Linked DNA regions of Canis lupus familiaris. The protein of the gene in region 2 purifies or fractionates together with the protein of the main gene of each other region. This does not show direct contact. Links are inferred from orthologs where the notes say so. Each region holds a gene or a part of one and is shown on either strand. Other genes may lie near its edges.

Evidence for each region. The genes of interacting proteins can lie anywhere in the genome.
Region 1: the proteins of PPP2R5A (region 2) and AXIN1 purify together in Homo sapiens (affinity purification with western blotting; 3 studies listed by BioGRID and IntAct, with this or other methods). This does not show direct contact. The link is inferred for Canis lupus familiaris from reciprocal best matches to the Homo sapiens genes PPP2R5A and AXIN1.

The regions. Positions count from the first base shown.
Region 1 is NC_049227.1:40,663,546-40,667,190, reverse strand, and holds part of AXIN1 (axin-1), read right to left. Parts: intron 2,932-3,645; coding exon 2,791-2,931; intron 1-2,790. UniProt on the Homo sapiens protein: Component of the beta-catenin destruction complex required for regulating CTNNB1 levels through phosphorylation and ubiquitination, and modulating Wnt-signaling.
Region 2 is NC_049228.1:10,355,234-10,359,476, reverse strand, and holds the start of PPP2R5A (serine/threonine-protein phosphatase 2A 56 kDa regulatory subunit alpha isoform), read right to left. Parts: upstream 2,903-4,243; 5' UTR 2,888-2,902; coding exon 2,686-2,887; intron 2,531-2,685; exon of another isoform or gene 2,459-2,530; intron 1-2,458. UniProt on the Homo sapiens protein: The B regulatory subunit might modulate substrate selectivity and catalytic activity, and might also direct the localization of the catalytic enzyme to a particular subcellular compartment.

The DNA of each region.
Region 1 (3,645 bases), on a different chromosome or scaffold from region 2:
GGGCCTCTGGAAGCTCAGCGGTTCACAGGAGCCAACAGGACGGACAACGCCCGCCAGAGGAAGACGCCTGGTCAGTGGCTTTCCCAGGCCCGTCTCCTCCTCACCCAAGGACTCCCAGGTGGGCTCCCAGCTCTGACGGCGGGAACGGATTCGTCTAGGTCGTCTGGCTGTTGGAAGGCCTCGGCCTCCGTGTTCCCCAGGGGCTGCAGTCAAGATCTGCGACCCGGCCTCCCTCCCAAGCACGGCCCCAGGGTGGCGGCTGGGCAACAGTGCTGCTCTCACTTGACAGCAGGGGTCAACCACGCAGCCACAATTCTGACCTCACCTCATTAACTGCTGTGCAACCTAGTAAAGCTGCCACCTGCCGCCCAAGGTGCCCAGGATGTCCTGGCCCCGCCTCACACCCAGCAGCTCAGTGGCTGTGTCGGCAGGCAGGAAAGTAATGTTCTCCCCCTAAAATCACATGTCTCAGGGGTTCCATCCAGGGGGAGGGTGTACTTTGGGCCAGAGCAAGGGAGGAAGAATCCAGGACAGCCTGTCTCTCCTGTCACTGCCTCAGTGTCCCTGGCTGTCAGGGCACCAGCTGGTGTGCAATGTGACTGGCTCAGCAGCCTGGCAGGGGCACCCAAGGGGGCAGATGTCAAGGAACAGGTGAGTCAAATGCATTTAAAACATCTTTACATGCCCCTGGAGTTCCATTCCAGTGTCCAGGGCCACCAAATTTTTGTTTCTTATATGCTTTGACCAGGAATTTAAACATTCCACATGCCTCTGTGGATTAGACACTGTCCTTAGACACCCGTGCACAAAGTGCAGTGAGCCACCGTCTCTACTGTGTGGTTGGCATGCTGAGGGCAGCTGTGCCCGCTACAAGATAATTTAGATGAAACCCACAATCCTACTTTTTGCTTGATATATATTCAAATATTTTACATTCCAAATCAACTATGCCTGTATTTCTGAATCTTAGTGTAAACCAAGATAGAGTTATCAGGAAAAAAATATTTTTAAAATTTTATTTTGGGATCCCTGTGTGGCACAGCGGTTTAGCACCTGCCTTTGGCCCAGGGCGCGATCCTGGAGACCCGGGATCGAGTCCCACATCGGGCTCCCAGTGCATGGAGCCTGCTTCTCCCTCTGCCTACTATCATAGATAAATAAAAATTTAAAAAAATAAATAAAATAAAATTTTATTTTATTTTATTTTATTTTGTTTTTTAAAGATTTTATTTATTTATGCACGAGAGACACACAAAGAGAGGCAGAGACACAAGCAGAGGGAGAAGCAGGCTCCCTGAGGGGAGCCCGATGTGGGACTCGATCCCGGGACTCTGGGGTCATGCCCTAAGCCAAAGGCAGGCACTCAATGGCTGAGCCACCCAGGCATCCCATATTTTAGAAACTTCAAATCTTTCATTTAGGAACCATATGTCATTTTCTGTGAAAGAATTAAGAGACTTTTCGAGAAAAAGTGCGCGGACAAATGGATTTTCACTGTAGTAATCAGTTTCAGGGAAGAGAAAACCCAATGCTACAAATGCACAATCCCGAGCCGTCACCTGCTGGTGGGGGTCGTGGCAGGTACTGCTGAAAACACAGCCATTTCAAATAAGAAGTTGCTAAACACGTCAACATTTTACCTGAACAAAGGGTAACGAATGAGAAAAACCACACACAGAAGTTCAATCTGAAGGGACGGGTCCAGCTTGGGTCCAAAGAGGAAAAGAAGGTGCGTGCCCCAGATGCGCAGCGACAGGGGGCGCACTGCTGTGGCTGGGAAAAGGCCTGTCTGGCGGCGGGAAGAACATGGGGACACAGGCAGAGAGGAGGCACCGACTGTGAAAACCCCACAGGAAGTGGGACCACAATTTTATGATGTCTTCTCTACAGGTTTAGTGACCCTTCCTTTTTTATTTAATCCTGATTGTCCACGGTTTTTCCCATGAGGAAGCAAGCTGGCTGGGGAAGAAAGCCACGCCCCCGCCGCCCCACAGGCAGCCAGCTGACAGCGGCTGCTCCCACCCCTGCGCAGTCCTGGCCCTCGGCCCCCTGCCGTCTCGGAGTGGGGGTCGGGGGACACCGCACACCTGCTCGGGCCCTGGCCAGGGACCTCCCGGCAGCGGCAGTCAGATGGTGGATGGCACCCAGACTGAAAACGGGGTGAATGTGACATTCGCGGGCAGCCAGGACCACGAATGACCTTGGCAGGCTGGCTGGGTAAGGCCCTGATATAACGACACAGTGTCTTACATCAAACTTGTGATGTGCGTTTGGGTCCCCAAAAGCCACCTGTCAAAGCAAAGGAGAGTGTCAGAAAATAGGTACTTTCCCATCAAGAGGACGATGGAAGAGTTAGGTGCACTGTCATCCCTGGGGGACACGAAGCTCCAGGTGGCTCTGGATGGTTCCCACGGCCTCTGGGCACGTGCGGCCCTGCGCTATCCCTGCACAGGACCGGCCGTACCAGTGCCCTTAGCTCTTGCCTCCCCATGTCCTACGCAGAGTATGTGACAGGGACAAAATTTCAAACGACAGAAAGGCACGGAGCACGAGGCACCTGTGCACAGCAGGGCCTGGCCGGGGGCCGCCCCACCCGCCCTGCTCGGCCACCCATCTGTACGGTGAGCCCCCTGACAGCTCCCCCCGTTCCAAGGTGCCAGCAGCCGTGGCCTCAGAGACAAGCAGCTGCTGCAAGTTCCGGATCCTTAATGATGCAGCCCGGCTATGCCGGTGGGGGTGCAGGGGGCACACGACGCGGTGGGCATGGCCCACGCCCAAGGGGGGACTCACACGCTGCTGTCGGTGAGGGACAGGCTGTCGGCATCACTGGACAGGCTCTGCTGCTCACTGTCATTGGCGCTGGTGGCCGGGGCGAGGGCGTAGCCGGAGCTGACGTAGTAGGGATGCACAGGCTCCCGCCAGGACCCGCACCTGCCAAGAGGAACACACGTCAGTGGCGGCTGAAGGCGGAGCCATGGAGCCCCCCGATCACGGCGCACACCCGGTACCTTCGAGGTCTACCTGGGCGGCGGGCGACGCCCCAATCTGCTGGCCACTCAGCCTGTGGCAGCCCCGACACATACCCGGGTAGGACGCGCCTGAGGGCGGGGGACATGGGGCCGCCTGTCGCCGCCGAGCCTCACCACAGCATGCCCCGGTTCTCGTCGTGCCCCTGGGAGCCCACAGGCTGGCATCTGGGCCATCTACACCCCGTCCTCACCTGGGACCCGCTCACCCCTTCCGTCCACTTTCCACTGGGAGGCTCACGGCTTTTCCAGAGTTTACCAAAACCTCTAGTCTTACTATGAACGGCCAGTGACACAGGCAGAAAATACTTTCTCCCTAAATGTCACTTTTCTTTCCGACTTTGTGTTGGTTTTGGTCGCACAAAGGTTTTCACATCTACAAAACCACTTACCAATCTCTTCCTTCAGATTTTCCGCTATCTTAGAAAGCAGGCCTTCCTTGTCGTAACCTTCAAAATACATTCTTTTATTTTTTCTCAAATGATCCAATAGTTTTTTTTTTCATTTAGAACTTCACTTGAAACGGTCACTATGTAACCCACCTCACTTCCTTGCATCAAGATGGAGAGTCGGCTGTGAGCACAAATCCTGAATGAATCCACCTTATCCTGAACAACTT
Region 2 (4,243 bases):
AGTTCTCAGGGGGAGCTTATAGAATTAACATAACAAGAACATTTAAAAATGCTTAGAAAAAAAATTTTTTAAGCTATACAAATCAGGCAGTTGAATTTTCAGGACCCACATGGCAGGTCCTAATTTTTTAAAAAATCCTTTTAACAAGGCTTTTTTATTAAAAACTTTCTATAACAAAATAGTTTTCTCTGAACATTTTCCCTATTAAAATCCTGCAACCTACTTGGTAAATGATTTTGCACAAATAAACTTCTTATAGATGAAAAAGTTGGATTATTTTGTTAATCCTTACCCATAGTAAGCTTTGAGGAAAATAGCTGGCACCTTTCCAGCTTAGATCCATGTGGACAAAGTGTAACATAAGCAGGTTAGTATAAACACTTGAAAGATCTTGGTTGCCCACAAATATCTGAATCTCTCCACAGGAAGATTATATTTCAGAGCAGGAAGAAAAATTCTCTTTCATACACATACTAAAGGGTTTTCCACTGGTTTTTGTTAAGACCACAAATGGAAAAAACTACTACAGACAGAAAAAAGCACACAACTTTGTGGTATCAAGCACACTGCCAAGTACCATGTGAAGAAACTGGATTTTTTTTTTTTAAAAGCACTTTTCAAGCCTTTTGGCATTTGGAGTATAAGTAGCTCTTATTAGTGGGTAATCCCAGTAAGGGTCTTATTTCCACAATTATATTTGCATAAATTTACCTCGAATACCTGAACTTTCCTTTTAAAGAACACTGTATTTTCATGTTAAATATGCAGAATTAATCTAAAGTTCCAATTTTATTTTTTCTCCACTAGTGACCAAATACTGTAAAAAAAAAAAAAAACAAAAAAAAACAAAAACTCAATGGCACCTTCAACTTGTTGAACTATGCACCATATAATTTAAAAGGATTACTGGCTCTGCATATTTTTGTCAAGCTTTTAAAAACTGCATTAAAACTCCATCTCCTAACCATGTTTAATATGCAACTATTTTTATTAAATAAAAGTAAATGCATTAATAAGGACAATAGTAAGGACCCACAATACCTTACTAAAAAAGCAAATTTAATAAATATGAAAAACACTAGCAGCAAACTTCCGATTATGAGAAATTCCACAATTTAATGGGAAAAAATCAATGACTTAAAAACGTTTTAATTAAGTTTACAACTGAAATCCATGAATAGCAATCCAATGTCCTAACAGGTAAGACGATATTCTTTTATAGCTATGATATCACTCAAGAATTAAAATCTTGGCAATGCCTACCACTGTGGTTTACCAAGGACTATGATATGTAAATTTTAACCATTTTTGCATGCTGCATGGCAAACGATAAATGCAGCCACACACGTTACGCTACACGTTTCTTCAATAAAACCTTTCAAAAGCTAGTTGGATTCTGGCTGTGGAGGTCCCTGATTTAGAAGCACCCCCAAAAGACAGGGCAGTATAGGGTCTGAACGGGGTTCCAGATCTATCGCAGGTCAACTGTGATTCGATCTGGGGTTTTCTTTAGACTCCTAGCCAGACTCAGGCGAGGTCCAAAGACAAATCAGAACCAGATTATCCTTGAAGGAGGCGAAACGGATCGAAAAATCTCACCGCCGATTCTATTTTAGCATGAGCCTTTAATTTCCAGGCCTCGCAAAACAGAGGATCTAGATTTCTATCAGGTTTCTTTTGTGCTAAGAGTTGTCTGAAATATCTAGGAGGGTTATCCTCTCGTTCCGAGCGAATTTCTCTCTCTCACAGAGAAGCGAAGACACGAACACTACAAAATGTAAAGAGAATAACGCACCAAGAATAAACCAGACCACCGGGAAACATTTTATTAAAAGTCCCCTGAGCCCTTGTGGGAAAAGTACGCGCGCGCCGAGGAGCGCCAAGCTCTCCTGCAAAGCCCTGCGCGCGGGCACGAATCTGAATCACTGTCCAGACCTACGCGGTCCCCTGGAATCCCTGCTTCGCGAACCAAGTTCCCAATCCGCTGCAAAGCGACTGGATTTATGGACTCTTTTGCAACTTCCCCAACTTTACCGTGTACGTGTGTGTATCTATGTCTATATCTTCCCCGGCAACGAAGTATTCGGAGTCTTTCCACTCTCGGAGTTAACGATACCACGTGAACCTAAACGACCCAGCAAATAAGGCGCTGCACGAACGAGTGGGGTTTTCACGCCCGTTCTTCAGGAGCGGGTGTGCCGGGCAGCCGACTCCCCGTCGCGGTCTGCGGCAGGACGGCCACCGAGGGCCCGCTCGCTGTGACAACTGGGGTCGCTCCCTCCGCGGGCAAGGGGAGGCGAGGGTGCGCGCAGACGCCCGGCCGACTGAAGCAGTAAAGGGGCAGTGCCAAGCGTCGGAAGAGCGGAGGAGGGTCTCGGAGGGCAGGGCAGGGCAGGGCAGGGCAGGGCAGGGCAGGCTGGAGGAGCCCCCACCCCCACCCCCACCCCCACCCCCCGCGCCGCGCGCCCCGGGCCGGCGCGAAGAGCCGCCCGGCGGGGGCTGAGCCGCAGAGCTGCAGGCGCGGGCGCAGGTGAGCGAGCGCGCAGGTGGGCAGGGGGCTGGCATCTGCAGCAAACTCTGCAGAGCAAACCTGTTGGATGCGGGCGCGGGCGCGGGCGCCGGGAGGCAACGCGAGGGACGCGACTCCCGCTCCCCCCGCCCCGGGGCGGCCCCCTCGGAGGTTACCTTTGAGCTGGGGCAGGGGGTGCAGCTCCGCCTGGCTGCCCTGGCTGCGGAACTGCGACGAGCCCTGCGAGCGCTTCTGCCTCTGCGCCTTGCGCACCGATTTCCGGGTGAAGCCGTCCACTTTCTCCGAGGCCGAGATGGCGGCGCCGGCAGCCCCCGCCGGCGGCGGCGGCGGCGGCGGCGACGACGACGACGACGACATCGCCGCGGCCCTGGCGCCTGGCAGCTCCGGCTGCTGCGTGCAGGGAACGGGCAGCGGCAGGAGGAGGAGGAGGAGGCGGGGGGAGAGGCGCGGGGAGCTCGCGCCCCTCCGCCCCGTCCCCGTCCCCGCGGCCGCGCCGCCCTCCGGCTCCCGGGCGCCGCCGAGCTTCTCCGCGCCGCCCGCCCGCCGCCGCCGCCGCCTCACGGCCACATCTCAGGGCCGGCGGTTCCTGGTCCCCGCCGCGCGGCCGCCGCCTCCCGGGGCTGACGGAGGCGAGGGCGGGGACGGAGGGGGGTGAAGAAGTTGTTGACTCCGGGCGCGGAGAGCGGGTGGAAGAGAGCCCGAAGTTTGGACAACTGCGGCGACGGCGCGGGGGTGCGGACGCCGCGCGCGCCTCGCTCCTCCTCAGCCCCGCGCTGCGGCCGGCGGCCCCTCAGCGGCCGCTGCCCGCGCTGCCCGCGCTGCCCGCCCTGCCCGCAGCCTCCTCCCGAGGCGCTGCCATCGCGGGGCCCCTCCGAGCCGCCGCCGCCGCGGTGCCCGCTCTTCCCCGTCAGCGCCGGACCCTCATCTCCCGGGGCGGTGACCCGCCGCGGGGCTCTGGGCGCGCACGCTCGCTCCTCGCGGCGCCGCGCGGTCCGAGCGCCCTCCCCCGCGCGCCCTTCCGCCGCCCACGGACAAGCCCCGGCGAGCGGCCGCTAACGACTCGAGAAGGCGGAGGGCGCACGCAGGGGCGGGGGGAGGGGGCAGGACGCGGGCAGAGTGTGCGCGTGTGCGTGTGCGTGTGCGTGTGCGCGCGGCCGGGGGAGGGGCTGGCGAGGGGTGGGGAAGGAGGAGATTGACGGACCCCTTCCGCGGGGTCCCGCCGGCCTCGGACGTTCGGGGAGGGAGTAGGAGGCGGGTAACCATGCCGGTTCCCTCAGCCAATCGCAGGCCTAAGCGGCGGGACCGGGGTGGGGCGTGGCCTCCCGGGCGGGCTCCGAAGGGGGAGGTTAGGCTGAGGAGTGGGGCGTGGCTGTGTGACGGGCTTCTGCCACAGCCAATCGTAAGTGAGGACGGCGAGCGGCGCGCCGCTACGTCACAACAGCGCGATGAATGCTCCTGCTAGAAAGGGGAAGTGCCCCGCCTCCGGCGGGCTCCTCCGCGCGCGTGCGCGGCAGCTCCGGGCTCTCATTGCTCTCCCGACGGCCTATGAGAAGACCAGGGAACCGGAGTGGGTAGTTTCAGAGAGCAAAATGGAAGGCCCTTTCCCTTCCCCTGTGCTCCCCGCTGGCCAATGAGGGACTGAAGCGACTGATGGGGTCTGTCTGAGGTCTAGGGCGGGAAAGAGCGCCAGGTGTGTTGCATCACTAAGATGGG